Linked DNA regions of Oryctolagus cuniculus. The protein of the gene in region 1 interacts with the protein of each later gene in a pairwise test. Links are inferred from orthologs where the notes say so. Each region holds a gene or a part of one and is shown on either strand. Other genes may lie near its edges.

The links.
Region 2: the proteins of JAKMIP2 (region 1) and CLIP4 interact in binary tests that used the Homo sapiens proteins (3 or more experiments, as listed by UniProt). The two-hybrid records come from large-scale screens. The link is inferred for Oryctolagus cuniculus from reciprocal best matches to the Homo sapiens genes JAKMIP2 and CLIP4.

The regions. Positions count from the first base shown.
Region 1 is NC_091437.1:35,123,176-35,139,075, forward strand, and holds part of JAKMIP2 (janus kinase and microtubule-interacting protein 2), read right to left. Parts: intron 9,933-15,900; coding exon 9,435-9,932; intron 5,766-9,434; coding exon 5,556-5,765; intron 3,699-5,555; coding exon 3,600-3,698; intron 946-3,599; coding exon 799-945; intron 187-798; coding exon 46-186; intron 1-45.
Region 2 is NC_091433.1:173,896,658-173,913,198, forward strand, and holds the start of CLIP4 (CAP-Gly domain-containing linker protein 4), read right to left. Parts: upstream 9,474-16,541; 5' UTR 9,242-9,473; intron 3,998-9,241; exon of another isoform or gene 3,870-3,997; intron 1-3,869.

The DNA.
Region 1 (15,900 bases):
TGTCTTTGGGAACAGCTTAAAGTTTACAGATTGATCCAGACCTACCCTTGTGAGCTCATCAATAATGTTCTGTTGCTCAATGACCTGCAGTTTAAGAAACTCCGTCTCTTGTTCTTCATTGGCTTGGTCAAGGTCATTCAGAGATTTTAATTTCTTCAAAGGTGGATGGGAAGTTATTTTTTCTTTCTGGATTGGAAAAGAAGAAAATACAGGTAGAGTTTTTAAAAATCCCAAACCTTCACTGTTGGCAAAAAATATTAGTATAATATCTGTGAGATTCCATGTAAAAATGAGTGCTGTGCAGAATACAGACACACCGACTAAAACCCTTGAGTATATCTGATCTGCTATAATGCATTGAAATTGTTGGGGATTATCTGAAGATCTCTTTAACTGTATTAGAAGTCAGTTAAGGAGTACATTAGCATATCACTTGTTCATACATAATACAAGTGATGGTATCTGCCTCCCAACTACTACTAGATCCTTGCTGCTGAGGTGTTCCTGCTGTCAAGGTGTGTAAAGAGCATGTTAATGACATCTTTGAAGGAGGTTTCTGGGGCTGAGGAGTTTCTGAGCTTTTGGAGAGCATGTAGATTTCTGGAAACACTCCTATGGTTCTGCAAATTTAGAAACCCCGTAAACTTCAGAGCCAGCAGACTTCTCTTGCCTTCTTCCTTGCTTACATAAGGGGAAATCCAAATAGCATTGTATTTAGAAAATAAGCAGAGAAAAAAGTCAGGTGACTGGAGTAACCTAAGGAAGGGCGCTCCAGTTTTGCAGAGTCGCAATACAAACCATTTCTAAATTTTCCTTGGTAACGGCTTTCAGTTTTTCTTCCATGCGCTGCAAAGACACCATCAGTTCATCATTTCTCTTGGCGAGGCACTTGTTCCTTTCCAGGAGAGGTTTACATTGCTTTTCCGTTTCCCGCACGCGTTTTAACTGGGAAGAAATAAATGAAAAATTGTCTCCTGTGGTTGGGGGGTGGGATTTGGCACAGGGAGAATCAACTGGAGAGAGTGACCACCCCTCTATCACCACCTTTGCCTTCTGCACCATGTGTCTCAGGGCTGAACACTGACAGTGCAGTCCCTCATGGAATGGATCACTTACTTTGTTTCCTATTCCCTCTGATGGTTTTTCATCAGTCTTCAAACCCGCTATCAATCTATAACGTTAACAGGTGCTGCGGAGATACTGCTTATGGAAATGCTGAGGATAAAAGTCCTCCCTGTTGGATTGGCTTTCTCTCTAGCAGTTACTCCACTATGCTCAACTCTGAGCCCTGGACCTGGGATGACCTCTCATTGGCTGAGAGAGACAAAGTAGCTCATCCGTTTCACAGTCACTAGGCAATGCAACCAGGACCTGAATCCCATCCTGATGTCTCCAAAGCCTGCTCTGTCCCACAGAGATGTTGCTAGAATCCCCTGACTCACAATAAGCTTTATTTTGGGCAAAAATCCCATGAAATTTTTGAACTATATTGATGTTTATCTTTAAGAATATCCAATCCTCACCAAGCCTAAGTAAAGTATGATTGTATTACGACCACTCACAATCAAGAGGGACAATACGTACATTCTCATTTGCCTGGTCATTCTAAAGTAGACTGTTTCAACCTCTGTACCCTTGACATTTAGGCCCAGATATTTTTTGTTGTTAGGGGCATTCCTGTGTGCTGTAGGATGTTTTCCAATATCCCTGGCCTCTACCGACTAGATGTCAGTAACACCCTGCCAGTTGTGACAACCAGAGATGTCACCAGATTTTACCCAGATCACCTCTTGTTTAGAACCACTGATCTAAATTTATACTTGCTGTCTTGGAAGTAATTGTTAATAGTTCTACCTTTTGGCCGGCACCGTGGCTCAATAGGCTAATCCTCCACCTAGTGGCGCCGGCACACCAGGTTCTAGTCCCGGTCGGGGTGCCGGATTCTGTCCTGGTTGCCCCTCTTCCAGGCCAGCTCTCTGCTGTGGCCCGGGAAGGCAGTGGAGGATGGCCCAAGTGCTTGGGCCCTGCACCCCATGGGAGACCAAGAGAAGCACCTGGCTCCTGCCATCAGATCAGCGCGGTGCGCCGGCCACAGCTCGCCAGCCGTGGCAGCCATTGGAGGGTGAACCAACGGCAAAGGAAGACCTTTCTCTCTGTCTCTCTCTCACTGTCCACTCTGCCTGTCCAAAAAAAATAGTTCTACCTTTTACTCTCCAAAGTCTCTCGGTTAGATAATATATTTTATGATCATCCTATACATAACAGGTTTCCAAGTTGAAGTTCTCATGATTAATTCATCATTTTCATATGAATGATTCTGAATGTGGATATGCCTAGGTGGTAGAGCTACCAAAGCAAGGAAAGGCAAGGTGTAAATCGGAAATATCTGGACAGAGTTTTAAAAACATTCCCTCTTGTTCTTGAGAATCTGACATTTTAGGAAGTTGTGACAGGGGAAACATAACTGTCCATGAATGTATGAAAGACCTCTCATTGTGATTCTTGAATAGCATTTCAACAATTCTATCTTCAGTCTCAATTTGATATCAACGACCAAAATTGGGCTTATTTTTCATAAATAATTTGACTTAATCTGCAATTCCTGAACTTTCATCCCTGAATCATTAATATTAATTACTGAGTGCATAAAAAGATAAATAAACTACTCCATTAGGTTCATTATCTTAATCTGTGTCTCTTTGGGTGGCCAATGACATGTGCTTTAAAAAATTACATTTGCTTAATATACACAACTCATATAAAATGTATGTAAACACGAAGAAAATAACTAATTCTTTCATATATAAGAGTCCTCTAGTACCCAATAAAATGGTTCTTTTAAAAGACATACCCAATATATAACAAAGGAAAGCAGAAAGCAATATATATGTATGTATACATGTATACACAGATTTATGTAAACACAAGAAAACCTGATATAATTCAATTAATAATAATAAAGGCTTTAAATCAAGAAGTATAACCAGAGAAAAATTTCATAGTGGTAAAAGGCTCAGTACACTAAAAACATGTAACAAATATTAATTTATATGCATATAGTAAAACAATTTCAAATACATATGGGCAAACTGAAAGAAATAAGAGATATAGACCAATATGTTAGGAGAATAAGCAGACACAAATATGAGTAAGGATACAGAAAATTTTAAATAAGACAAATGCCAATTTGAATAATATGTTATTCATTGAATAATAAAATATGAATGAATCTTACATGTTATACAATCACAAATATCATGCTAAAGAAAAGAAGCCAGACACAAAAGAGAAAATATTGCATGATTCCCCTGACAAAAATGTTTACCAATGGTAAGAGCCATCTGTGCCTACAGAAGTCAGGGTAGTGGTTAACTTTAGAAGGATGGTGATTAGGAGGGGTCACACAAAAGGGAGGTCCTGAGATTCTGGTAACTTTCCACTTATTCATCCATTTGAGGGTTATAAGGATGTACCATGTTGTGAACATTTATTAATGTGTACTTTTTTTCTGTTATGTTTTACTTCTAAAGCTTCATATATACTTCTCTAACACAATGCCTAACAGGAAAATAAAGTAGAAACATTCTGATGTAACTCACCAATTCATTTCGCTCATCTCCAAGCAAAGTATTCCTGTCTTCTAATTTTCTTATAGTGGCGTTCAATTCAGCTATTCTCTTCTGATTTCTTCTCAAATCCTACCGATGAAAATTAAAATGGTTATTTCCTTGATAACACTTTTCACTTTTGGAATACTGCTCATAAAATTAATTGGCACAGTTCTCTTTACTGAGAGTAAAATATTCTCTTATTTAGAGAAGAATAATTATCTACTTTTCCCCCTAATATTCGTGGTTTGAATTTAGGAGAAATCCTGGTTGAAATTACAAATGAATTCCCTTGTAGCAGTTACACCCCAAAGGCTGGGCTCATGGGCAGGGGAGCAGAAGGCTGAATCAGCCTTTCAGAGCTGTGTCCTCCGAGACCATGGTTCCGTTGTAATTACATGAGATCAAGGAGCAACCCTTGTGTCGTGGATGCATCTTGCTCCCCACTGCTTACACAGATCTACTGCTATTCCACGTAGCCAAAGAGGGGACTGGGTAGGAGCTGGGAATGGGCTTGTAAAGTCCTGCATATCCCTGGAGAAAAGGTCAGAGTGAGAAAAGGTCACTGTGTGACCTTCATGTATAAAAAGCAGCAGTTGGACCCGCATGGGAGACCAGGAGAAGCACCTGGCTCCCAGCTTTGGATCAGCGCAGTGCGCTGGCCGCAGCACGCTGGCCGCAGCGGCCATTGGAGAGTGAACCAGTGGAAAAGGAAGACCTTTCTCTCTGTCTCTCTCTCTCACTGTCCACTCTGCCTGTCAAAAAAACAAAAAACAAAAAACAAAAAACAAAAAAAACAGCAGTTGGTAGGAGAGGCTCTGCTGGTATATTTTTACCTAGTGCAACTGGCTTTCCTACTGACAAAACTGCCACAAATCACTTTACACACAGCAATCATGGCTTGCCTCTCAGCTAGTCCATAGGATTATTAGCATATGCTTGCAATTTTATTATCATCTTACATTTTGTTGGTGCAGTATTGTTGACACAGCAATTTCACACCTATTGTATCTCTAGAGTCACAGTACTCTCCAAGAGTCAGCAGAATGGGTAAAAATCAGGGAGGCTGTTACCTGTTTCAGGTTTCATGTTTAGAATCAATAAATCAAATATAATACACATATATGCTATTTTCTCCACAAGTATGACACATTGCAGGTGTCAGTGATAGAACCAAAGCATACATCTGCTAAATCCTAGATCAGTACTGTCTCTACCTCCCGCCAGGATATATATATATATATATATATCTTGACTATATATATTCTTGAATACCAATTCTTGAATTATTCATCACTTGGTACTAAGTAGTACTTTAGTAGAACTCATCTCTGTTCTTAAATAATACATTTTCATCTTTTTAGCAGCTAATAACTTGAAAGGTATAGATGTGTTAGCAAACTACAGACAAGCCCTATTCCATCATCGTACTTTTGAAAATAATTTCTTATATAAAGTGTTGAACATCAAGGGAAATGAGTGGCAAGTTCAATAAGACTAGAAGCTTTCACAGGATGAGCATAACCGGTTTAGTTTCTCATACAGTTATACATTTTGATCCCTTTAAATGATAACCTCCTTTATCAATTTCTAACCCAATTGTTCGCATAAGGGAAAATGATTATTCTTGGCAAGAGGTAAAATATTTCCATCTAATTTATGATTCTTATAATAGACTTAAACTGGAAAGGTATTGCTTGCCTAGAAAATTCTATGAGGGATTTAAAGAGAGCCATATTTTTCACGTGATCTACTAATGCAGCACAGACCACTTTTGCTGTCTATCAGTTTAGAAAACCCTCTTCCCAAGATACTAGCTGGTGGTATAATGGGAGGTAAAATTGATTTCTTTGTAGTAAAATGAAAAGTGCTTAAGTGAAAAGAAAAATTTGGAAGCTAAATAAAAGATGACTCCTGAGTTCTGAACTTCAACTTGGACAGACTTACAGGACTGCCGCAATGTTCAGAGCCGTCTCCTGCCCTTCCTGGGATTTCCCGTTTCGGACTGCTCATGTTACACTCAGCCTCCTTGACGAGAAAGAGTTGCTCATCCAAAGCCTCCTTCTGCAGCTGGAGTTTCTGTACATAGCCTGTCTGGGTCTCCAGTTCCTTTTCCAGCGAAAAGATGATCCTGTCCTTGGCTTTGATTTCATCCATCTGAATTAAACGAGACCCAGAATATTCTTATTTAGCAATGCTGTGAAGAAATGCATTTTCATAGCGGTATGAGTTTAACTTCTTTCTTCTAAATGAAATCAGGAAAAAGTGGACATAACAAGTGTACTCAATTCATGAATACATTGAGCAACATTGTGAAATGAACGGCTGTTGAGGTTAATTAAATGTCAAGGAGAGTCATTTTTCTCTCTACCATATCCTGTGTAGATGTTTTCATTCAGTAGATTGCTTGAAATGGTCTAGGCTGGTTAAATACAGAAAGCAAAGGCAAACTTTAAAATAGGTTATTAGTGTAGATAAAGACAGACACTAAATACACCACTACAATGTTTCCTAGCACATTTGTGTTGCTTTCTCTTCAAGGGGAGTGGACATTTGAGTTCAATTCAAGTAACAGCTGTCACAGTTAGGCCACTTGCAACTGAAGAAACTGCAGAGTTCCCAATGACTGAGTCATCTCCTAAGACTACCATGTTTGTGTTCAAGTAGTGAATTTGGAGAGGAGTCCATCCATGGGTCATGTCATGTGGCTCTTTCCACTCCCATTCATATTGTACAGCAGCCAGCTTTTAGCAAACATTCTGCCCTTATGCTCAGAAAATGATGGTTGGGACTCGAACAGGGATGGCAAAACGGGGCTATATTAGACACTATCTCCCCTCCTTCATCTGCGGGATATATGTAGTGATTCCAACACTCATTTCTGCTAAGCCTGATCATGTCCTCAAAAATATTTCTCAAAGCAGAGCCAAAGGCATTGGATACCAACTGATCAGCGTTCCACTGCCATGGAACCTTTCTGCCATTCCTGGATGAGGGATAACAAAGTGACTGTAAAATAGACAGCCCGGTCATTGACAGTAACATTTCTTCTCATTTTACTGTATTCTATGCAAATATTCAATATGCAAATAGGGAAAAGATATCCAATACAGAGAAAATTTTACCATTTTCCTATTTCTCAAAATAATTCTTTACAACAATTCACTTTGTATAAATCTTTGTTGTGCTGTTTATACAAGAAAAAATATTTGAGGCAGAAATTACATTACATAGTTTCATATTTTCCAAATATCTGTGAGCTTTTGCCACCAAGTCACAAGATTAAACTTTAGGTCAATTTTGGGAGGGCATTAAATTCTACATGATCCTATGGTGTCATCTGATAATTTGTAAATGATCATTACTGTCCTGTTAATTCTGGAATACAAATATCACTTCTAGTTTGTATCTCTTTGCAGTGAGTCCACTCCTATTCTTAACTGGGTAATGCATTTTTCTGTCAAACCTGTCATCTATAGTGTTATATACATTTTAATTTAGCACCCAATCTGCCTGTTCCTAATTGATTCTGATGTATCCTCCCCGACTGAGCTCGATTCCATTACTTCCCACATAAACACTCCGATCATCACCATCATCATAACTGAAATATATCCATCTTTTAGTATATTTAAAGCACTAAAGTGAGAAATTTACATACTTCATCTCATTTCAGAGCAGTCTTATTCAGTAGATTCTGTTATCACTGTGTTATAGATGACGACAGGTGACCTGAAAGGTTTAAAAGCTGGCTCCAGGGAGCAGGTGCCTGTAAAGCACACTGAAGTGCCTAAGCTTGATTCTTGGCTCCAGCTACTGCTTGGAGCTTCCCACCTGAGAGTTAGTTGATGCTGACTCAAGTAGTTGAGTCCTCTCTGCCTCTCAAATTAAAAAAAAATTAAAAACACCAAAAATGTTGGTGGTAGTCATCTGCTAGTCAGTATTGAAACCTGATTTTTTAATTCACTCTTGTGATACTAGAGGCCTTTCTCAGGCACTATGCTCCTCTTGCCTCAAGATTACCCATCTTCCAGCATTTTCCATGCTGGTTTTCAGTGGAGTACCTTAGTAATTATTATTGTGGTAATTCTATTGCATAGTGGTTATAAGCATGCTCTCTCACCTCAGAATACTGAATATTGACCAAAGTTATATTTCATTGATGGAAAGGGATGCATACCAGAATTCTCTGAGGGAACCTCCTAAACAGAACAGCTCCCATTTCCCTCCCTTCCAGTTACAAAAATGGAATTAGGGCATGGGGTAGGAACAGGATAAGGAAGAATGAAAAAATGAATACGAGTACATCTGTTTTATTGAAACAGTTGTCTATGTTATTCTGTTTTTACCCAATTTTCAAACCCCTTTTAAAGTGGCTTAACTTTTAAATTGTCACTAAGAGGGATTTTCTGGCTACTTAATGTATGCTTTGATGAAATGATGTCACGGAAACAATTTACAAATCAACAAGGGAACATATTTGCAGATTTTATATTGAAAGCCCTTAAGAATCAAAAATACTTAATGCAAAGCTTCCTTTTTCATTACTTACCTGCTGGCTTCAGAGTTCACAGTCTTGATTCTTTCTTCATCAGTCATTATTGTTTCCGAAACCAAAGGCAGGGCAGAACCAATATGTCTGCACTGTGTTTGGTCTTTATTATCGAAAAAATACAATAGAATGAGCTGCAGATAAAGCATGCAAAGTGTAGCAAAGGCAACATTTCACAGTCACATTGTACTGCAGTGCAAAGAACATTATACATCCTTAGTTTTTGAAAGTGTTCCATGATAACTACTTTGAACTTAAAATTGAAATCTTAGAGATATCATCCAAGGGACATAATGGAAATTCTTCAAAAACAATTACTTCAATTACTTAGCATTGCTTGACACATGAGGGAAAGTATAGTTTCTCTTAAAAAGATACATTTTCTAGTGAAGTAGAAAGTACATTCTAACAGGTGATGGCTTATTTGATAAGTTAAAACTAAACTTTAACTAATGCTGAATATCTGAGTATAGTAAATATAAAGGTTTCTTTTAAAATAGCTGGGCAATTTCAAATTAGGGCATTACAGCTTTCAGACAATTGTTCCATTTGTTTTGTTTTTAAGCATGGTAAAAAAAATCATGTGACTTTTGGCTATTTGTTAAAAGGAAGGCAACTTTAGGGGTTGAAGTAAGTCTTGGAAATTGTGAAAAGCAAAAAAGTTACTTAGGAAGGACACACAACTTAAAATTTATAATGGTTCCTGTTGTAAGTGGCCCATGTTTATTTTGGGGAAAAGACCAGTTTTTAAAATGACTAGGGATTTTGTGTCTCTGTGTCCTGTTTCCAGATAGTATTCTTGGAAAATCGAATGGCAAATCACTTGAGATATTCACAGTGGCTGCCATTTTCACACACAGGGAAAGCTGTAGCTACTTTGCTATCCCCCGTAAAACATCCAGTAACACTTTACAAATGGAAACCCCACAAAACAAGCTGACTTCTGAGGAGCACATAATTTAGAATATTTTTGCAGATATCCAGGAATGTAGGTGTTTTCTCCACACATGTGGTCTGGGAGAACCTCGAGTTCATTTGAGAAAGGCGATTCCAAAATTGCTTACATTTGCAATCCATTTTTGGCCTGCCCTTAGCTTTCCTTAGATCTCCCTCCCTCCCTAGTGATCTAGTTTGTATTTTAAATACAGCACTAGACAAAAGTGTGCACTGTTTATTAGCATCCACTAACAAGGAAACACCGGAAAAATAAACCCCACAGCATTCTGAAACCTGGACAGAAGGTGGTTCTGCCTGGGGCCGCCAGGATTACTAACCAGCCTCCGAATATCCCGCTCGGACTCCCACTTGATCTTCGAGATGGCTTCTTGGTGGGATTGGTGCTCACTCCTAAGGTCCCCGGCCTTGATCTTATCCGCTTGGATCATATTGCTCAGAGCCTCGTCCACCTGCTTCTTGGCTGTTTTCAGGTCCGCAATTTCCTGTAAGAGCTTAAGGCGCTCTGCATCAAACAGTTTCCGGGCCTCCTCCCGGGCCTCAATGGTGAGCGCTGTCCTTACTTTGTCGCTGCTGCCGTCCCGTAGAGCACACAGGGCCGACTTGAGCCTCTGGATCTCTCCGTCCCGCACCTTCACTGTCCTCGACATCTCCTGCTCGTGCTGCTTGATGAGATTCTCCCGCACGGCTTGCAGCTCCTTCATCTTCTCCTCATGGAGCTTGGTTTTGAGTTCTGTCACCAGCACCGTGTGCTTGCGCTGCTCCAGCTCACGGATCCTCTTGGCTTCTTGTGTCTTCTCTCTTTCAAGCTTGGATACCTGAAAGTACAGAGGCAAAAGGATGAAAAAAAAAATAAATGACCCTCAAAGGCAAGGTGTGTTCCTAGGCAGGATTGGCAGCGCTGGCTGCTGTGATGGCTTAATTCTCCTCTGTTTTCAAATCCCAGGCCCCTGTGCGCTCCCAGGCAAGGGTACCACGGGGCATGCAGTTTGTGGAAAGATGAAATGCCCTCTAATCCTCCGCCTTGCGGTGCCGGCACACCGGGTTCTAGTCCGGGTCGGGGTGCCGGATTCTGTCCTGGTTGCCCCTCTTCCAGGCCAGCTCTCTGCTGTGGCCCGGGAGTGCAGTGGAGGATGGCCCAGGTGCTTGGGCCCTGCACCCCATGGGAGACCAGGAAAAGCACCTGGCTCCTGCCTTCAGATCAGCGCGGTGTGCTGGCTGCAGCGCGCCGGCCGCGGCGGCCATTGGAGGGTGAACCAACGGCAAAGGAAGACCTTTCTCTCTGTCTCTCTCTCTCACTGTCCACTCTGCCTGTCAAAAAAAAAAAAAAAAAGAAGAAATGCCTAGATTGTAGATTGTTTATTTGACTTTGTTCACACAAATATTTGATGTTCTCAGGATTTCCTAGTCCATGTGTGGTCAGCACACATGCAGCACAGGCAGTGTTCAGAAGCTTACTAAATACAGCTCTAGACGAAAAGTGTACACTGCTTATTATCCTCCACTAACGGAAAGAATCCCGGGCCCCAGCCTAGACCTATGAATGAGAAGGGGCATTTTCACCAATCCCCGGGCGACTGGTATGCGCATTAATGTTAAGAAGTATTGCTAACGGTTTTCTGCCTGGTGGGGAGGAGTTCAATATAGATCATCTAGAGGGCCCATTAGACTACACAGCCTTAGCTAGGTCCCAGCTGATACACGTGAGCATCTCAGAATAGCTCAGGGTTTGATATTGTGATCAGGCTCATAAATCAGTGCCTGGGGTATGTTATAAATGATTCCCCTCCTTTTCTTGTGGGGAAGGGGAAGGGAAAGTGCTACAGCTAAGCAGGAAGGTGGAAAATGAAGGCAATGGGGATAGCCTCACTTGTCCTTTTCCTGGTATGGCAACTCAGTTCCAACACACACACACACACACACACACACACACAGCAATAAAACCCAGTAAGTAAAAAAGGGGAAAACATCCCTGCTGCTCCTTGGGGTCCTCTGTCTGATAAAGGACTTGGGTGGCTGTAGTTCCTTTCAAGGTGGTGGTTTTTTGTGCATGCTCCTCAGATGCCTCCTTGTATCTCCTTCTCCGCCCCCCCCACCCCCCACCCCGAGCCATTGTTCTTGCTGCAGCCCAATCCAACACTCCAACTAATTGAGCAGAATATTCCTTTTTGCTTTCCAAGAATTCTAGTTAAAAGTTCTGGGGCTGGCAATGTGGTGTAGCTTGTAAAGCCAATGCCTGCAATGCCAGTATATTGTATGGACGCCAGTTCAAGTCCCTGCTGCTCCACTTCCAATCCAGCTCCATGCTAATGCTCCTGGGAAGGCAGCAGAAGATGGGTCAAGTGCTTGGACCCCTGCACCCATTTGGGAGACCTAGAAGAAGCTCCTTGCTCCAGGCTTCAGTCTGGCCAGCCCTTGCCTTTGAGCCATCTGGGGAGTGAACCAGCATATGGAAGGCCAATCAATCTCTCTATCTCTGCCTCTCTCTCTCTTTCAAATTAATAAAAAATAGATCTATTTTTAAAAAGTTCTTCTGTGTTTTGTTACATTTTTAGTGATAATACAGACCTGCTGATGGATTACTAATGATGCTACCTGTATCTGGCTCACTCAGTCTCTGATTCGGTAGATAAGGACAGGTCCCTAGTACTAACAGCTTAAAAACACTCCTGGTTATCCTGTTCTGTTGTCTCCCTCCCTCATCTTGCTGTCTGTCTCTATGTGTGTTTTCTCTCTGTATCCCTCTGTTCGTTTTCTCCCCTGCATACATACACACAGCAAGTAGAAAAAGAGAAAAGTAGTTAAGAGACTTTCTAGCTTAAAAAAATTAAGATTAAAACTCCCTATTGAAACCTTGTAATTATCACGTAAAGTGTCCACTATTTTACTTACCTTAGTGGTTCACCTACCTTTAGGCAGAACACTATTTTCCAAGTACTCACAGCATCCTGCAAATATTTCCTTTTGAAAGCACAGAGATTATCCCTATGAAGGTTGTTCTAAAAAGAGCTCAGAGCACAAGGGAGCTCGATGTGGTATGCAGCCAGGCACCCTCACAAGGCTGTCCTCTGGTCTCCTGGATGCCTATTCTGTGACATGTGATAGAGCTGTGCTGTCCAACAGGTAGCCACCACCACACTGCACACTTGGAACATCAAAAGTTTGAATGGAGATTTGTTCTAAGGGTAAAACACATTACAGATTTTGAAGACTTAGTGTGAGCTAAGGAATGTAAAATATGGGAAGGGTGTTTGGTGTGGCAGTTGGGATGCTCTCTTATCAGAGTGTCTGGTTCAAGTTTGCACTCCTCTGCTTGCGATCCAGCTTCCTGGAAGGCTACAGGTGATGGCTCAAGTAGGTCAGGCCCTGCCACTCATGTGGGAGAACTGGATGGAGTTCCTGATCCTACGTTCAGTCTGGTCCAGGCCTGGCTGCTGCAAGCATTTGGGTAGTGAACCAGTGAACATAAGATTTGTCTACCTTTCAAATAAAATGAAAATATATAAAAATTTTAAAATGAATGTGAAAGATATGATTAGTCATATTTATGTTGATTATATAAGAAACTATTATTAAAACTAATTCTGTTTCTACTTTTAAAAATCATAACTATATGAAATCTAGAACTCATATATGGCTTGCATTTATGGCTCACATCTTAGTTCTCTTGGACAGCACTGTTCTTGAGTTCTGAGGGGCTCATTTGCTGAACCTAACTTGCCCCCACACTGCTGGTGATAATTCTCTCAGGAAAGCCCCATTCTGGTTTTATTTACGTGCCTGCTCAAAAGCCACCCAGGGCCCCTATTTCCTGTGGAATAAAATCGCAGCCTCTCAGCTTCATCTTTCAGCCTCTCACAGAGGTGTTGCTGGACTTTCAACTCTCCTTTGCCCTTCCCTCACCTGCCCTCTGTCAGAGATAGGGGATTCAGCCTTTCTCTGCTATACCATTCGCTCTCCCATACCTGGAGTTTCCTCTTCTGAACTGCCCCTTCCAGGTCTCACTGACAAGCTGGGTCATCCTTTCCTGCTTTGTCACCCCAACTGCGCTGAACAAACCCCACTTTTCTTGCCTTTGTCTTCCCAGCACACTCTGGGAGCATCTCTCTGCTGATTCTTCCCCTGTTTTTATTTATACTATTTTTTTGGACACATGTCTGTTCTCCTGAACACCCCTTCTAACTCTAGCCCAGATTGGAAACTCCTAAAAAATCACCAAAGAGCCCTGCTCATCAACAGGGACCCAGGGGCTGCCAGCACAGCACACAATAAGGAGCAGAAGGCATCACAGGGGGTGAGTCAGTGTGTTTTCCAGGCTAACCCATAGCCAGAGGAAAGAATCATATATCCTATCTCGTGGCTAAGAGAACACAGTCTTCTGGAGTTACCAGAGCGGCCTCTCATCTATCCCTTCCCTGTATACAACAAAACAAGCATCTCCTAACATCAGGACCTCCAGCTCTCCTCTTGATGTTTCCTTTGGTGCATTAGTGGGCACAACCTTGAGCTTTCCATTCTTTTAGAGTCAATGGAAGTGGGCATCTTTCGGGCCAGAGGTGAGAAAACTATAATCCATGGACCAAATCTATCCTGCCCTCTATTTTTATGAATAGTTTCACTGGAAAATAGCCTTGCACATAACTTACAGGTTGCTTACGACTGCTTTTGTGCTATAATGGAGTTGAGTAAGTTTGCAGAAACTTTCTGGCCCACAAAGCTTAAAAAATTTACTATCTCGGCCGGCGCCGTGGCTCAATAGGCTAATCCTCCGCCCTGTGGCGCTGGAACACTGGGTTCTAGTCCTGGTTGGGGCGCCGCATTCTGTCCCGGTTGCCCCTCTTCCAGGGCAGCTCTCTGCTGTGGCCCGGAAGTACAGTGGAGGATGGCCCAAGTGCTTGGGCCCTGCACCCGCATGGGAGACCAGGAGAAGCACCTGGCTCCTGGCTTCGGATCAGCGTGGTGCACTGGCTGCAGTGTGCCAGCCGTGGTGGCCATTGGAGGGTGAACCAACGGCAAAAGGAAGACCTTTCTCTCTGTCTCTCTCTCTCACTGTCCACTCTGCCTGTCAATAAATAAATAAATAAATAAAAATAAAAAAATTTTACTATCTCACTCTTTACAGAAAACATTTACTTATTCCTGTCATAGAGAGTACATTTTTGAGGGGAGGGACCTTATTATTTCCCATTTAGAAACTCTTTAAATTTACCTTTCACATAAGACAATGCGGAAGTTACTTTAGCTCAAATGATAGGAACTTATCCACCTACAACTTCAGCAGGAGGTATTCACATCAGGCATTTGGAACAGTATTAGGACTACAAAGACTACTGTTACCAAGTCGCTAAAGGGAAATGTTAGCAATGCTTCCTTGAACAATGAAAGACTATTGTAAAAATGAACAGAGTAAGAAATTCTGGGTTTGCATTTCTATGTCACTATTTGCCATTTCTATGAAAGTTGTTTAAAAAATGCCTGTACCAGGGTTTCCTTAAGGGTTAACTTACATAATGCCTGTGAAAGCACCATGACCTGTACAGTATTCTGAAAAAGTGAGGTAGTCCTATCTCTGGAAATGGTTAAAGACACCTGATCTAAAATTATATGTCAAATTTTCTGCAGGTGCATTAGGATGTATCTCTCTGTCACTCTGTCATTTCTCTCAAATTATAGACACTAACCTTCTCTGTGTACACTGGAGGGGATATTAACAACAAGAAAAGCAGTGATAATGCATCAGCACAGAAAATAGAGTCTAGCCTGAAGACAAAAACAAATACAAACACACACTGGCCTTCTTGGCTATCCTTTAAAGAATCCATAGAAACCAAAGAAAATAAAAAGGACTTGAGTAACATCCAACATTTCTTATGTCCACTTATTTGGGCTGCCATGGAGACTGGCATTTTTTTGCAGGATTTCTAGGCATGACTTGTTTTTAATCCTCAGGAAAAGTGCTTCACTGTGAAGGAGAGCCAAAGGGTGTGAGCTAATTTTGGGTGGGTAAAGTACGAATAATTTTCTTTTTTTTACTAAAATCATCTTCTTAAAATTATTTTCAGTGAAGATTGCACCACTGCAGAAATAAACTTAAGCATCTTAAAATACTTCTTGAAATGAATATACAAAAAGATGAAGAGCTGTTGCTGAGTAACAATGAATATACGAAGATGATCATATTCAGAAATGGAGAAAATTAGAAGAAATCAATTTTGAATACTGGAGATGTTTCAAGGCAAAAAATTTGAGCTTTATCATAGAATATCTAGCACTAGGTATGTGGAGGGCTATTATGAGTTAGGGACCTATCTAAATAGGCTCTATTGTCTATCAGTACATTGAATATGCTAGGCACCTCTATGATGTGGGTAGATTTATTTCCTCAAATTTCAGGTGAGAAAAAAATAGTCTGTACATCATATGCACACCATCAATCAGTCTGACTGAATTCCAGTGTGGGCCAGGGATCAGATCTAGGTCAGTCCCTAACCTCCTTGTTTGCTCTGAAAGTTTGGGCAAGCTACTTCACCTTTGACAGCCTGAATTTTCTCCTGTGCAAACTAGGGATGGTGAGACCATTCATATACGGGTGTTGTAAGGATTTATTTAGACAATGGATCAAATGCCCTTTGAAAAAGCTGGAATGCATGGCAGATTAATAAATTAACACTCAATAGAAATATTAGTACTTTTAACGAATATTTACTATATTAATATATCGAGCAATTTTAATATAATGTTATATTAACATCACCAACAACATAAGTACAGTATGCACCCTTAACC
Region 2 (16,541 bases), on another chromosome or scaffold:
CCAGGTTTCAAACCAGGTACTGGGGTGTGGGATGCGGGCGTCTGAACCACCAGGCCTCACCCCGCCTTCTGTTTCTCTAGCGTCAGCAGTGCCCGAATTCCGACTCCACAGCAGGGAGTCACTCAAGTCCAGTTGGTCGAGTGAGACACCACACACCTACTCGGGAGCTGGTTTTCACCAATTCAGGGGCACTGTTGCTGGGAGCAAGAGCCTGGCACCTTTGCAAACAGTACCCAGGGCCTCTATTGCAAAGGCCTGTGTGGGTCTCAGCTGAGATGGGCCACCCTCAGCATGCTGGCCACATAGTCCTCAGCTTCTGCAACCCAAAGAGACCCAGGAAAAAAAGGTATGGGAATGACTGGCATTGTGGCATAGCAGGTTAAGCCACTGCCTATGACACTGGCATCCCATAGGGGTGCCCGTTTGAGGCCTGGCTGCTCCACTTCCGATCCAGCTCTCAGCTGATGTGCCTGCCTGGGAAAGCAGTAGAAGATGGCCCAATCACTTGGGCCCCTGCACCCTTGTGGGAGACCAGGAGGAAGCTCCTGGTTCCTGCTTTGGTCTGGCCCAGCCCTGGCCTTTGTGGCTATTTGGGGAGTGAATCCGTAGATGGAAGATATTTCCCTCTCCCTCTCCCTCTCTCTCCTTCTAACTCTGCCTTTCAAATAAATAAGAATAAATCTTAAAAAAAGAGAAAAAGAGAGATGTGGGTGGTGAGGGAGGCTCTGACTCCTGTTTGTGAAACACGTACTAAGTAATTTTCAGTGTTAGTAAGTACCATTAGCTACATCCCTCTCCTTAAGGACTCTATAACCTTTGTAAATTTTATTATATTTTAGTTTTGTAAACATTTATTTATTTAAAAGAGTTATGAGAGAGAGGGAGACAGAGAGAGAGAGAGAGACATCCTCCATCTGTTGATTCACTCCCCAGATGGCCACAACAGCCAGGGTGGGGACAGGCTGAAGCCAGGAGCTTCTTCCAGGTCTCCCACGCAGGTGCAAGGGCCCAATCACTTGGACTCATCCTCCACTGCTTTTCCCAGGCCATCAGCAGGGAGCTAGATGGGAAGTAGAGCAGCTAGAACGTGAACCAGCACCCATATGGGATGCTGGTGCCGCAGGTGGCAGCTTCACCCACTACATCACAGCTCTAGCCCCAAGAACCTGAGGTTTTAAAGTCAGGACTGAGAGATTTCCTGGAAGGGGGTCTAAGCTTTAAAAACAGAACAGTAGGGGCCGGCGCTGTGGCGCAATGGGTTAACACCCTGGTCTGAAGTGCTGGCATCCCATATTGGCGCCTGTTCTAGTCCCGGCTGCTCCACTTCCGATCCAGCTCTCTGCTATGGCCTGGGAAAGCAGTAGAAGATAGCTCAAGTCCTTGGGGCCCTGCACCTGCATGGGAGACCCAGAAGAAGCTCCTGGTTCTGGCCATTGAGGCCAATTGGGGAGTGAACCATTGGATGGAAGACCTCTCTCTCTCTCTCTCTCTCTCTCTCTCTCTCTCTGCCTCTCCTCTCTCTGTGTAACTCTGACTCTCAAGTAAAAAATAAATAAATCTTAAAAAAAAAAAAAAAAGAACAGTGCCAGGCAAACTGGATCTAATTGGTCGCCTTACAGGCAGACTGAAGTTCAAGTTCATAATTAGCTTTGGGGCATAAATAAATAAAATTAAATAACCTGGCCTCTCAGAAACTCAGCTCCTGTATTATAAAATGGGTATCATAGTAGTTTATCTCATGTTTCTTGTAAGAATTCAATGAGATGGTATGTGAAAATAACTTAGCACAGGGCCTGATACTAATTGCTCAAAAAGAGTAATTAACACATGCACATAATTGCTAAATACAAGACATATCATTTAGGGGCCAGTGCTGTGGTGCAGCAGGTTAAGCAGCCACCTGCAATGCCAGCATCCCATATGAGCACAAGTTCAAGTCCCAGCTGCTGCACCTCCAGTCTAGCTCCCTGCTAATTCCTGGGAGGTTGGCCCAAGTGCTTGGGCCCCTGCACCCATGTGGGAAACCCAGATGGAGCTCCAGGCTCCTGGCTTCAGACTAGCCATTGCAGCCATCTGGGGAATGAACCAGCAGATAGAAGATCTTTCTCTCTCTCTCTCTCTCTCTCTCTCTCTGTCTCTCTCTCTCTCTCTCTGTTTCTCATTCTCTCTGTGTCACTCTGCCTTTCAAATACATAATTTTATTTTTTTAAAGATTTATTTTATTTATTTGAAAGACAGAGTTACAGCGAGAGGTAGAGACAGAGAGGGAGGTCTTCCATCCGCTGGTTCACTCCCCAGGTGGCCCCAACAGCCAGAGCTGCGCCGATCTGAAGCCAGGAGCCAGGAGCTTCCTCCAGGTCTCCCACGCGGGTGCAGGGGCCCAAGGACCTGAGCCATCTTCTACTGCTTTCCCAGGCCATAGCAGAGAGCTGTATTGGAAGAGGAGCAGCTGGGACTAGAACCAGTGCCCATATGGGATGCCAGCGTTTCAGGCCAGGGCTTTAACCCGCTGTGCCACAGCGCCAGTTCCTCAAATACATAATTTAAAAAAAAAGTTTCCATAGAAGTAGAATTGACAGATAAATATATGTTGCCAAATAAACTTAAAATTCATACAAACAAGTAATTTTTGTACCAGTATGTCCCATATTTTTAAAATTTTCATCTCACATTAAAATTTAACCAGGTAGCTGATATTTTTGTTCCCCAAAAGTGTCAGCCTATGTAGAAAAGGTAGAACTTACATTAGAGGAAACAAAAAATGCTGCAAAGATAGCTATGAAAGCGTTGTAACGTTTGAGAAGGAACACCTGAGATCCAGCCCAGCGCATCCAGGTGTGATGCAGAGTACACGGGAGGGGGCGGCGCTGTGGTGAAGCAGGTAAAGCCGCTGCCTGCAATGCCGGCGTCCAATACAGGCACTCTCCTGGCTGCTCTCCTTTCCATCCAGCTCCCTACTAATGGCCTGGAAAAAGCAGCGAAAATGGCCCAAGTGTTTGGGCCCCTGCCGCTCACTTGGGAGGCCTGGAGGAAGCTCCTGGCTTTGGCCTGGCCAAGCCCTGGCCATTGGGGCCATTTGGGGAGGGAACCAGCCAATGGAAGATCTCTCTCCCTCTCTCTCTCTCCCTCTCCCTCTCTCTCTCTCTCTCTGTCTCTCTCTCTCTCTCCCTCCCTGCCTCTCTCCCCCTCTCTTTGTGTAACTCTGACTTTCAAATAAATAAATATTTTTTAAAAAGAAGGATATGCCGGAGAGTCAGAAACAAGGTGCTGAGTTCCTGGGGTAAGGCAGGAATCAAAGGCAGAGACGCTTGGAGAAAAGGAAGAGCCTGGATCTACACCTCCACCGGGCCCCGTCCCTGTGAGAGGGATGACAGCCAGGGAGATCCGTGTGCAGCTGCCGCCAGAGGGTGGGGGCCAGAGCCGTGGAGAAGGAAGGTGTGTTGTGGGGAAGGCGTGGCCACGGTTCTGAAGGGGAGCTGTCCGTCACATCAGGACGTCCCCAGGTCCCTGCAGCCTCCTCAGTGATGACCAGAGTGAGCAAGTGGTATGGATCTGCAGAGGCCTCTTGATGGGGCTTAGCTAAGTCCACAGGGAAAGGTGGGCACTTAAGGCCCGCCCGCCCTCCTCCAGCAGTGAGAAGACACTGAAGTCACGGGATTCCTTCAGTCCCCCCAGCGCTTTCCCCACTCCTGAGGGTCCCCACAGGGTCCTTCCGCCCTCCAGAAACAACAAAGCTCTTGAAAGACAGCGATTCCAGTGCACACAGAGGGCTTGGGACCTCAGGGCAACTTCCCTGTGGGGTCTGTGTTGCTGTTTTTGACCTCCCACACTCATTGCTTTCTTCCTCGTGTGTGTGCACAAAACCTTACTCGTGTGACAGATGAAAAAGCCAGGGCCCCGCGTGGCAGCTCTCCCCCAGCAGGGCAGCTCCTCTCTAGAAACACTCCCCAGCAGGAATCTTCCAGTTTGATCCAAAACAGCAACTGGTGCAGAACATCTGCTAATCCAAAAAAATGAAAATAAAAATTCCAAATTCTTTGGACTTTGGTATTTTCAGTTGGGCTCCTGGAAATATCAAAGGATATATGTCTCTCAACTTGTAGGGATACCAACTAATCAGGCTTTTTGGATTATATTACATTGTATTACATTATATTATATTGTCAAGATGTGAAGTGGTACTAAAGTTTAAGTTATGAAAATGTAAAATGCTACTGATACAAATGTCCAAAAGTTAAAGTCTAATGATCTTATGTTACCAGGCATGATGGTTATTTAATGAGAAGGCCCAGAGGCCTAAAAGGGATAAGTGCTTTTTTAAATCTTACCATAGGGGCCGGCGCTGTGGTATAGTGGGTAAAGCCGCTGCCTACAGTGCAGGCATCCCATATGGGTGCTGGTTCAAGACCCAGCTGCTCCACTTCTGATCCAGCTCTCCTATGGCCTGGGAAAGCAGTGGAAGATGGCCCAAGTCCTTGGGTCCCTGCATCTGCATGGGAGAACTGGAGGACACTCCTGGCTCCTGGCTTTGAATCTGCACAGCTCTGGCCGTTGCGGCCGTGTGGGGAGTGAACCATTGGATGGAAGACCTCTCTCTCTCTCTCTCTCTCTCTCTCTCTCTTTCTCTCTGCCTCTCCTTCTCTCTCTGTGTAACTCTGCCTTTCAAATAAATAAATAAATCTTTTAAAAAAAATCCTTCCAGGCCGGTGCCGCAGCTCACTTAGCTAATACTCCGCCTGCAGCGCCGGCACCCCGGGTTCTAGTCCCAGTTGAGGCTCCGGATTCTGTCCTGGTTGCCCCTCTTCCAGTCCAGCTCTCTGCTGTGGCCCGGGAAGGCAGTGGAGGATGGCCCAAGTGCTTGGGCCCTGCACCCGCATGGGAGACCAGGAGGAAGCACCTGGCTCCTGCCTTTGGATCGGCACAGCACGCCGGCCGCAACGCGCGGGCCGTAGCGGCCACTTCGGGGGTGAACCAATGGAAAAAGGAAGACTTTTCTCTCTGTCTCTCTCTCTCTCTCTCTCTCTCTCTCTCACTGTCTAACTCTGCCTGCCCAAAAAAAAAATCCTTCCATAGACTTCTAGTTTAGACCATCAAAGATCAGAGATGGGACTCGAGCACCCCTTGACTTGCATCCTCTTAAAAGTTTCCTCTTAAACCTCCTGACGTGAAATGGACACTATGGGAAACGGTGACTTGATCAGCATAGCCCTGACTGTTAACAAACAACTTAATACATTATCCCTCTTAGTAGTTTTTTTTTTTTTTGTCTGTTCTACTTAATATGACTGGTTTAATTCTGTAATTAATACACAGTTATTCTTAAGTGTTGAAAATTAACTGAAATGTGATCCCTGTTAAACATAAGAGTGGGAATAAGAGAGGGAAGAGATGTATAATTTGGGACATGCTCAAGCTGACTTGCCCCAAATGGTAGAGTTAGAAACATACCAGGGGATTCCAATTCAATCCCATCAAGGTGGCATGTACCAATGCCATCTCACTATTCCAAGTGATCAATTTCAGTTCACAATTGATCATAATGAAAGGACTAAGAGTCAAAGGGAGCACATAAACATGTCTAGTACCTGCTAACACTAACCAATAGAATAAATAAAGGGGAGAGTGATCCAACATGGGAAGTGAGATACTCAGCAGACTCATAGAATGGCGGATGTCCTAAATAGCACTCTGGCCTCAGAATCAGCCCTAAAGGCATTCGGATCTGGCTGAAAAGCCCATGAGAGTATTTCAGGCATGGAAAGCCAAGACACTCTGGCAAAAGATCTCTGTGAGTGAGATCCCAGTGGAAAGAACAGGTCTTCAAAGAAGGAGGTACCTTTCTCTGAAGGGAGGAGAGAACCTCCACTTTGACTATGACCTTGTCTAAACAAGATAAGAATCGGAGAACTCAGAGGGCTTCCATAGCCTTGGAAACTCATGACTGGAGCATAGGGAGATTACTGATGCCATAGACAGGAGTGTCAATTGGTAAAGTCAACAACAGGAGTCACTGTGCACTTACTCCTCATGTAGGATCTCTGTCCTTAATGTGCTGTGCATTGAGATTTAATGCTATAACGAGTACTCAAACAATATATTTCACTTTGTGTTTCTATGGGGGTGCAAACTGTTGAAATCTTTACTTAATGCATACTAAACTGATCCTCTGTTAAAAAAAAAAAAAAAAGAAAGAAAGAAAGAAATTATCAACTCCCAACTTGACTCTCACTGGGATTAAACATGACAATAGGTCTGATCTGATTTCATCATCATTTTAAAAAAATCATCTATTATTTTTCACTTTATGTTTCTGTGTGGGAGCAAACTGTTGAAATCCTTACTTAATGTATAGTAAGCTGATCTTCTGTATATTAAGATAATCGAAAATGAATCTTGATGTGAATGGAAGGGGAGAGGGAGTGGGAAAGGGGAGGGTTGCGGGTGGGAGGGACGGTATGGGGGGGAAGCCATTGTAATCCATAAATCGTACTTTGGAAATTTATATTCATTAAATAAAAGTTAAAAAAATAAAATAAAATAAAAAAATAATAGATGTGTCACACTTATGCACAATATCAATAGTAGAGCAAACTGTGAAGAGGGACTTACAGGGACTGTCTATACCATCTACATTTTCCTATAGGCCTGACAAATAAGTCTACGGACTTTAAAAATGTCTAACATCTATTCCTGAGTTCCTCTCTTTTGAGAGACAGAAGGTAACAAAGTGAGAAAAAGGCAAAGAAGGCCTTCTGTAAGTGGACGGGTCTACAAGAATCCATTGCTTTCAACAGACAGCAACAAACAGTTTAAAACTAAAAACATAATACATTTATATTAGCACCAAAAAGAGGAAGACATGTATAAGTCTAACAATATATGTACATATTTACATGAGGAAAACTATAAAATATTGATGAAAGACCCAAAGCTCTAAATGAATGGAGATATTATACAATGTATGCATATATCATATAGTATCCTGTAAATATGTACAATTTTATATGTCTGTTAGAAAGCGGTTCTTTTTGAGATTTATTTCATATATTTGAAAGGCAGAGTAACGGGGGGTGGGGGGAGATACAGAGAGAGAGAGAGAAGGAGAAGGGGGAATGGGGCGAGAGAGATCTTTCATCTACTTGTTCACTCCCCAAATGGCCACAGTGGCCAGAGCTCTGGGCCAAACCAAAGCCAGGATCTGTGGGGAGTGTGAGCCTAAGGACTTAGGCCATCTTCTGCTGCCTCCCCAGGTGCATTAGCAGGGAGCTAGACAGAAGTGGAACAGCTGGGAGTCAAACTGGCACTCTCAGGCAGTGGCTTAACCCACTGGGTCACAATGCCAGTCCCTGTTAAAAAGTTTTAAGGTGAAAATTCTAATGAAAATAATCAATAAATGGAGAGATCTTCCATGTTTGTAGACAGGAAGACTCAATATTGGTAAGATGTTAGCTATTCCCAACTCTGTAGATTCAATGCAATCCCACTCAAAATCCCAGGCAACTGTTTAGTAGAGATTGACAAGCCAATTCTGAAGTTTATGTGGAAAGACAGAAAGTAGCCAACACAATTTTAAAGGAGAGGAACCAGTTCAGAGGATTGACACCACTGGGCATAAAGATATCAAGACAGTGTGGCCCTGGCAAAAAAGAGACAAAGAAACCAAAGGAACAGAACAGAGAGCCCAGACACAGACCCACAGGAGCACAGCCAGTGGATGTCTAACAAAGGGCCAAAGGCAACTCAGTGGGGAAAGGGGGGACGATGAGACAGCCACAGCAAAGAGATGAGTCCAGATAGAGACCTCACACCTTCCACAAAAGTAAACTCAAAACGAATCACAGACATAAATGCAAAAGCCAAAGCTGTAAAACTTCTGGGAGATAACATAAGGTAAAATTTAGGTGACTGGGTATAGTGGTGACTTTTTAGATAGGATGGACACCAAAGGCATAATCCATGAAAGACTGAACTGATAAATTATACTTCATTAGAATTAAAAACTTCCACTCTGTAAAAGACCCTGTGAAGGTAATGAAAAGGTAAGACAAAGAGGAAAATTCTTATAAAACACACATCTGATGAAGGACTGTTATCCAAAATTATACAAAGAACTCCTAAAATTCAAAACTTTTTGCTCAGTTTTTAAAAATGAACAAAAGACCTAAAAAGACACTTGGTCAGAGAAGATTTACAGTTAGTAAATAAGCAAATGAAAAAGTATTCACATCATATGTCATTAAGGAATTGCAAATTTAAAAAAACAATGAGATATTACTGCATACCATTAAAATGGCTCAAATCCTAAACACTGACAACACCAAACACTTGTAAGGATGTGACCCAATAGGCGCTCTCATTCGTTGATGATAGGAATGCAAAATGGCACAGTCACTCTGGGACAGTTGTGCAGTTTCTTATAAGGCTAAACACAGTGGTACCAAATGATCCAATAATCACTCCTTGGCATTTAACCAAGTGAATTGGAAATTTAGGTCCACACAAAAGTCTACAGATGAATAGCATCTTTATTCATAATTTCCCCAAGCTGGAAGTAACCAAGACCTCCCTTAACGGGTAGATAACTGGTACATATATACAATGGGATAATATGCAGTGACAAGAAGTACTGTGCTCTCAAGCCATGAAGAGACATGGAGAAACCTTAAATGCTTAAATGTTAAGTGAAAGAAACCTGTCTGAAAAGGCTACATACCATATGATTCCAATTATACAGCATTCTAGAAAGAGCAAAGCTATGGTGACCGTTAAATAATCAGTGGCTGCAGGGACTGGAGAAAGGAGGGAAGGGGGAGTAGATGACGCACAAGAGGTTTCTCAGGGCAGTGAAACGGTTCTGCACAATCCTATAGTGGTGGATTCGTGGCCCCAGGCACATCATTTGTCAAAACCCACAGAGCGAACACCACCAAGAGTGAATCCTAACATAGGCTATGGGTTTTAGTTAGTAAGAACCTATCAGATGGATCCATTGATTATCACAAGGAAAACATGTGGACTGTGGAACATTTTTAACAGCTTTGTAGCACTGACCTGACTCTCTGGTCAGGCTATTATCTATAAAAGGACGAATTTCTGTAAAACACAAACAAAATGAACATGGCTGAGACTCACGTTCATTTGCCTAAGACCACACAGCGCTTCATGAGGATACTCGGCACTGCCCTAGCAGGAGTGAGTTCCACCAGGGGGCTGGGTGGGCAGGTTTTATAGTGAGACTTACCCAAATCTCGCGACTGTCTCCTCAGTGTCGTCAAGGAAAAGGATGTTCAATCCCTCATTCGGTGAGAGTACTAGTTGTTTAGAGTGTTGTCTGGTGTACGGGAGTGTGTGGTGTTTACATCACGGGCTCCCTGGGGCCCCTGTGCAGATTCCAATCACAAAAGGCCAGGGTGGTGATGGCAACTTTGGCTGGCTCCCTCTGGTGGAGTTCTCCTTCCAAGTGCACCAGCCAGTGTTCCTACAGACACCAAATACATAATAATGACGCGAGCTCTGGCGCTATGGATACCGGATTTAAAGGGCCAGAGACTGTTCATTATAACCCTACTCTACCTTGTAGAGCGCCAGTAGCAATGGCAAAAGAAGAGGAATCATCAATGGGGTCTGGCCTCTTCCCTCTACAGTAAGGAAGAAGCCCAGAAAGCTCTAAAAGATGTCTCCAAGTCACTAGCAAGCCGTTAGGGACCTTGGTCAACCTGAATCCCAATCCAGGGCTCTTTCCATGTCAGCTTTCCTGAAGCTTTGCCAACTTCTTCTTCAAGTGGGAGAAGCAAAGATTGGTTCCAAAGTTGGAAGCACCATTAAGACATAAGCTCCAATCATGTGCTGGAGCCTATAGGACACAGATTGCATCTCATGTCATGACATCCGGGAAGGTAATAACTGAGGGAGTGACGGCCCACCAGAGATATGAAGGCACTTCAAAAACGGGGGTGGGGGGGCTGTGTTGTGGTGCACTGGGTTAAGCTACCACCTACGATGTCAGCATCTGTGTGAGTGACAGTTTGAGTCCCAGTTGCTCCACTTCCAATCCAGCTCCCTGATAACATGCCTGGGAAAGCAACTGAAGAGGGCCCAAACTTGGGTCCCTGCCACCCACATAGAAGACCCAGGTAGAGTTCCAAGCTCCTGGCTTTGGACTGGCCCAATCCTGGCCATTTGGGGAGTGAACCAGGGGATGGAAGATCTCTGTGTGTGTGTGTGTGTGTGTCTCTCCCTCTCTCTCTGCAATCTGTCTTTCAAATAAATAAATAAATAAGACAACTATTTTTAAAAAGTCCATGGAAACGTAAAATTAAAAGATATGTTTATGAGGCCAGCACTGTGGCATAAAAGGTTAACTCTCCACCTGTAGTTCCGGCATCCCATATAGGCCCTGGTTCGAGTCCTGGCTGCTCCACTTCCTATCTAATGTGCCTGGGAAAGCAATGGAAAATGGCCCAAGTCTTTGGGCCCCTGTTTCCACACGGGAGATCCAGAAGAAGCTCCTGGCTCCTGGCTTCAGATCAGCCCATCTCTGGCCATTACAGCATTTGGGGAGTGAACCAGTAGATGGAAGATTCTCTCTCTCCCCTCTCTCTGTCTCTTTCTGTATCTCTGCCTTTCAAATAATTAAATATACCTTTTTAAAACAAAGATATTTATTTTGGTGCAAAAAGTTTTTGAAACCCATGCATGGTTGTCTCTTAGTATGAATTTTCCATGTACATTTTGAAGACCCCACATACGCATGGATCTCAAAATGTTTTGTGTCGCTCCCCCTCTTCGTGGAGGAACGACACAGGACCCTGCGCTGTTCTTTTGTCTGCTCGGCCCTCCCCGGGTTTGCTGCTGGTTCTTCCCGGGTTGGCTACCGTCCCTTCCACCTCCGTGGAAGGGCGGTTCCCCCTGCCACATTCCCCACTTCTGCGGGGGAGCGGCACACCGCCGGCCGGCTCTCTCGGGGGCTGCACAGGTGTTCCTCAGGTATTCCCCTTAGATGTTCCTGGTGCATGTTGTCTCTCTCCTCCTTTATAGTCCTCCTCCGCCAATCCTAACTCGGCTGCCCACACGCCGAGTATGCTGCTCTCCTCCAATCAGGAGCAGGATCAGCTCCTGGAGGTCATCACTCAAGTTGGCAAGAGGCAGCTGCGTAGAAGCTGTTTTCTCCTCTCCCAGCGCCATATTGTGGGAGAGCAGATGCATAGAATAAGTCTTAATTCCAGTAACTCAGTCCAGTCCGGGTTGCTCCCCACAGTTTTGCACCAAAAACAAATGTCTCCAGGCCAGCGCTGTGGCATAGGTATACAGCTGCGGCCTGCAGTGCTGGCATCCCACATGAGCACTGGTTTGAGAGCTGGCTGTTCCACTTCTGATCCCGCTCTCTGCTATGGCCAGAGAAAGCAGTGAAAAATGGCCCAAGTCCTTGGGCTCCTGTACCCACGTGGGAGACCTGGAAGAAGCTCCTGGCTCCTGGCTTCAGATCGGCCCAGCTCTGGCCATTGTGGCCATTTGGGTAGTGAACCAGTGGGTGGAAGATCTCTCTCTCTGTGTCTCTCTCTGCCTCTCTATAACTCTGCCTTTCAAATAAATACATAAATAATTTTTTAAATGTCTTTTAATGCTATTTTCTGTGAACTCTTTGAAGAACCCTCATAACTAAGTGGTTTTGGCTATTGGAATTGTCACTACCAAGGCTCCATTTTGGAGGCCAAGTTGCCACATGAGCCAGGACAACACTGCAGGAATTCTCTGGCTAACGAGAGACATGTGGCCCCGTGTGCTTTCAAACTGCTCTCTGTTCCTACACCCTTAGGAACAGAGGGCAGCCGCAGAAATGCTGAGTCACTCTTTAGTTTCTCTTCTGCAAATACACCAGCCGTCACTTCATGCCCAAAGAAAGAACAGCTTTGTGATGCCAAGGCCTGGAGCACCTCGGTTTGCGGTGAGTCTCTGGAAAGAGAAAGTCCAACTGCCTTCATTTTAGCTAAGGGTAACCTGCAGTAGCATTTTTCTAGTCTCCATACTATAAAAGTAAGACAGAACCACTTAGCTCAGTGCATGGCTCCAGCTCTTCATAAACTGCAAGTCTTTTTGACCCCCAGCTGTTTCTGCCCAGTTTCCAGGAGGAAGCTCCAGTTGTCAGAATCACATATTTGTTTAAAAATAAAAAGTGCCGTGTTAACGGCGTAAGGCACATTGAAGCAGCTGAGCTGTGTCACTGTGTCGGGCATAGGTGAGGGAGGCTGGAGCTGCAGGGAGCCCAAACCCGATACCATTGGCTGGGAGCTTGGAGAGGATCACTGTTCCTACCGAAATAACACGGCTGGCTGTGACAGAATAGGAGCTGCAGGTGCCAAGGGCTTCTCCCTCCCCCGTTGCAACCTGATCTTGAATTCTGAGCCTTTGTCTCTATAATAAAAATCCTTAATATAGAAGAGTAACACTCACTCTTAAAAAAATTAGCCAACCTATAGTCTCTAGGATTCTCAGTTATGCTTTTTTATACAGATAGCAATAATTTCTATTTGTAATGAAGACCCTAAAGAGTTCATCTCAAAGTATATTCACAATTATGCACACACACACACACACACACACACACACACGAATGCTGGAGCGTGTACTAGACCAGGATGTCGCATAAGAACTCCTGAGTCCTCTCACTCAGGGCTGCTGACTCAACTGGGAGAAGGAGATAGATTCTCTGCTCTACAGATGACTCACTTCTCCATATCCATGCACGCAGCACAGATCTTTCTAGAATGGTCCCCAGTACATCAGTCAAGAACATCAAAGCAGACTCAGCAGGCAGTTAGAGAAGAGTTCAACAAAGGCATGACTTTCAAGGGTGTGGGCAGAGCTCAAGGAGACCCCAAGGGCAAGGGCAGTGCTCCTTGGCAGTGTTAACAGCACGTTACCACCCCAGCCTGCGAGTGAGAGGAGAGAGCTATGTCAGAGCGTGGGGAGGGTGGGTATGTGCAGAGGGGTCCCTGGCGGGAGCTGTGGTCATCCACGAGGCCAGGGTAGAGAGGATGTGGGAATCAACATCCTAATCACTCCCGCCCACCTGGTGATGCCCTCTGCTTACCACAATGAAATACCTGGCACAGCGACTTACAAAGAGAAGAGAGGCGTACTTGGTTCCCAGTTTGGGAGGTTTAGGAGCATGGGAGTGACGTCAGCTCAGAGCTGGCGAGGACCTCACAACATATGATGGGCGGTGGGGAGCCGTGGGGGGGGAGCCCATGTCAGGGCAGCAGGTCACGTCTCACACCAGGAGCCAGACTCGCTCCTTCGATGACAGCCCTCTCTCCAGAACGGCCAAGGGCTGCACAGGAAACAGCTTCACGTCTCCAAAGACCGAAGGATCTGCCACTTGGCCCCATCTCCCAAAGTTCCCACTACTACTCAGTGTGGCCAGCTGGGGACTAAACCTGGGCACTCTTGAAGGATGCGAAACGTATTTGATGTACAGCTCCACCCACACGGATCTGCTCCCAGGACACAGATACGCGTGGGGACATGGGTGTGGAGGGCAGGGCTACAGGGGCAGAGAAGAAATCCCACGTCCAGAGTCATCACGATGTTCCCCCTTCTGGTCCTAGGGTTAGGACCTGGGTCAGATCTCTCAGAGCACGGACAAATGTGCTCTCTCCTTCTCCCAAGGCTGGACCTTGCTCTCTGACACAAGAGAACATTTTCAGCAAGAATGTGAATGGTCTCATCATGATTTCTGATGATAAGACATTATGTTGACCTCTTGAGCCCCCGCCACCGATCAGGTAATAGCTTGGAAGAACAGCACATAATAACTCCTGGGTCTAGAATGAGGTTTTACTGACACCTGGCTGCCTATAATTATTGGAGCCGGTTATAAATTTCACAGTCACCGACTTGAGTGTGCAAAAATGTAATTTTCTCCATTCTCCTGTAATTGAGTGTAATTTCCGCCTTGAGCCTCCATTCTGCCTCAAAGCAGAGAAAATTTAATCGAGTCACTTTCAGATAAACTCATTCAAATTCAGTCTTTTCTTAGTCAATTCCAGTTTATAATTCAGCCACAATTGAGTTTAAAACTCTCTTTTTCTGTCCCCTTATCCCTTTTTTCTCCCCTGAAATTCAATCTAAGCTCTCCAGGGCCTAGCCAAGAGGTCCGTCCACTTCTCAGTCCTAATTTGTCCTCTCTGGCTCTGAGTACCATGGATGTCAGGTGCTCCACTAAAAGTGGGTGGCCCGTGGCATACAAAGGGGTTCTCAACTTCTCTCTAGTGAGAGTGCAGCGCTGTCCTTCTCTGCTTCGCACACCTCACCCTGGGCCAGCCCACCGGCTCTCCCGCGCCTCACCTTGGGCCAGCTCACCGGCTCTCCCGCGCCTCGTCCTGGGCCAGCTCACTGGCTCTCCTGCGCTGTCTGCTGAGGTCTATGCTACGTGGCAGCCTTCAGGACACTGCAAGTACCCTCTTGTGCCACCATGCCCTGTGGGGTCTGCAGCAGGCACTCTCACTCCACCATACCCAGATGATGTGGGAAACAGGGCAGGCAGCTTGGCTCACTCACACTGGGCTTTGGAATGCCTGGGTTCAAGTCCACATCCAGCTCCTGCAGGTGCACAGGCCTGCAAGGCAGCAGGTGATCATGGCCCAAGCACTTGGGTCCCTGCTGCTCACACGGGAGACCTGAATTGAGTTCTTGGCCCAGCCCTTGCCTTTGTGAACGTTTGGGGAGTGAACCCACAGGTGGAAGATCTTTCTGTGTGTGTGTGTGTGTGTGTCTGCCTTTTCTATTAAATTAAACTTATTTTTTTTAAAAAGAAGACATGAGGGGCTGGCACTGTGATGCAGCGGGTTAACAGCCTGGCCTCAAGCACCGGCATCCCATATGGGCGCCGGTTCAAGACTTGGTTGCTCCACTTCCAATCCAGCTCTCTGCTGTGGCCCGGGGAAGCAGTAGAAGATGGCCCAAGTCCTTGGGCCCCTGCACCCGCATGGGAGACCTGGAAGAAGCTCCTGGCTCCTGGCTTTGGATCAGTGCAGCTCCAGCCATTGCGGCCAACTGGGGAGTAAACCATTGGATGGAAGACCTCTCTCCCTCTCTCTCTGCCTCTCTTCTTCACACCCAGGTAGGAGCCTCCAGCTGCTCTCCTCTTTCCCCTCTCCCAGGGTTCTGCCTGCTCCTGTCCCCTTGCACCTCCACCCGGTCTCATACTAAGGGCAGCCCTCGGCTGTGGAAGCCGGTGATTCTTTGAGTGGCTTCTGCCGACAACGGTGGCCGCCATGGCTGTGAGGAAAGGCCCTAGAGGCACACGGAAGACATCTGAGGAGTCCGATGAGAAGGAAAACAGGTCCACCAACCTTCCCCACCCTGCCTCGGGGTGGGGCATCCGCTCATCCCCATTTCCTGTGTCACCTTGTGAGCTACAACTAAGAACCAGCCTCGTATGGTTTCACCACTGAAACCAGCTCACACCGGCTTGGTGACATGAGTGCTCACTGCCACCCCTGCTGCCCTCCCTCCTCACCTCCCGCTGGGCACGTGGATGGCAAGACGCTGGGCAAAGGCGGCAAAGTTTCAGTCAGGCTGAGCGCCCACACACAGCATGGTGAGTGGAGCTAACGTGCTGCGTCCGCGAAAATCCCTGAGATCAGATCGTAAATGTTCTCACCCCAAAGAACAATAAGTACATGAGAAGATGAGTATGCTAATTAGGCTGATGTGGTCATTTCACAAGGTATGCATGTACCAAAGCATCACACCGAGGGTGGGCATTGTGGCATAGCTCATCAAGCCCGCACGTAGGACAGCAAAATCCCATACCTAAATGTCAAGGCCGGGCTGCTCTGCTTCCCCTCCCTGGGAAAGCAGCAGCAGATGGCCCAAGTGCACCCATGTGGGAGACCCAGGTGGAGTTCCAGGCTCCTGGCTTTGGCCGTGAGTGGTGTGGCCATTTGGGCAGTGAACCAGCAGATAGAAGATTGATTTCTCTCCCTCTCTCTGTGACTCTGCCTTTCAAATATATACTTAAATAAATCTTTAAAAAAAATAAGTACTAGTACACATTGGCCAAAATGTTAATATTCTGAAAATTAATAAACATCCCAATTTTTAAAAATGTATTGGAAATCCTTCAGAGAAAAATGCAAATGATCAACAAAACATCTATCTATATGATCAAATATATTTAAGATGTATTTATTTGTTTATTTGAAAGGCAGAGCGACAGTGAAAGGAAAAGACAGAGAGAGAGCAATCTTCCATCTCCTGGTTCACTCCCCAAATGACTAAAACAGCCAGGTCCGGGGGCCAGGCCACAGCCAGGGGCCAGGCATTGCATCTGGGTCTTCCACGTGGGTGGCAGGGGCCCAAGTACCTGAGCCATCATCCACTGCCTTCCCAGGTACGTTAGCTAGAAGCTGGCTCAGAAGTGGAGCAGCTGGGACTTGAATCTGAACTCCAGTCTGGGAGTGCAGAAAGCAATGGCTTAACTGGCTGTTGGCATCAAAACATACTTATACATCACAACATATACATTTTTTAAATAT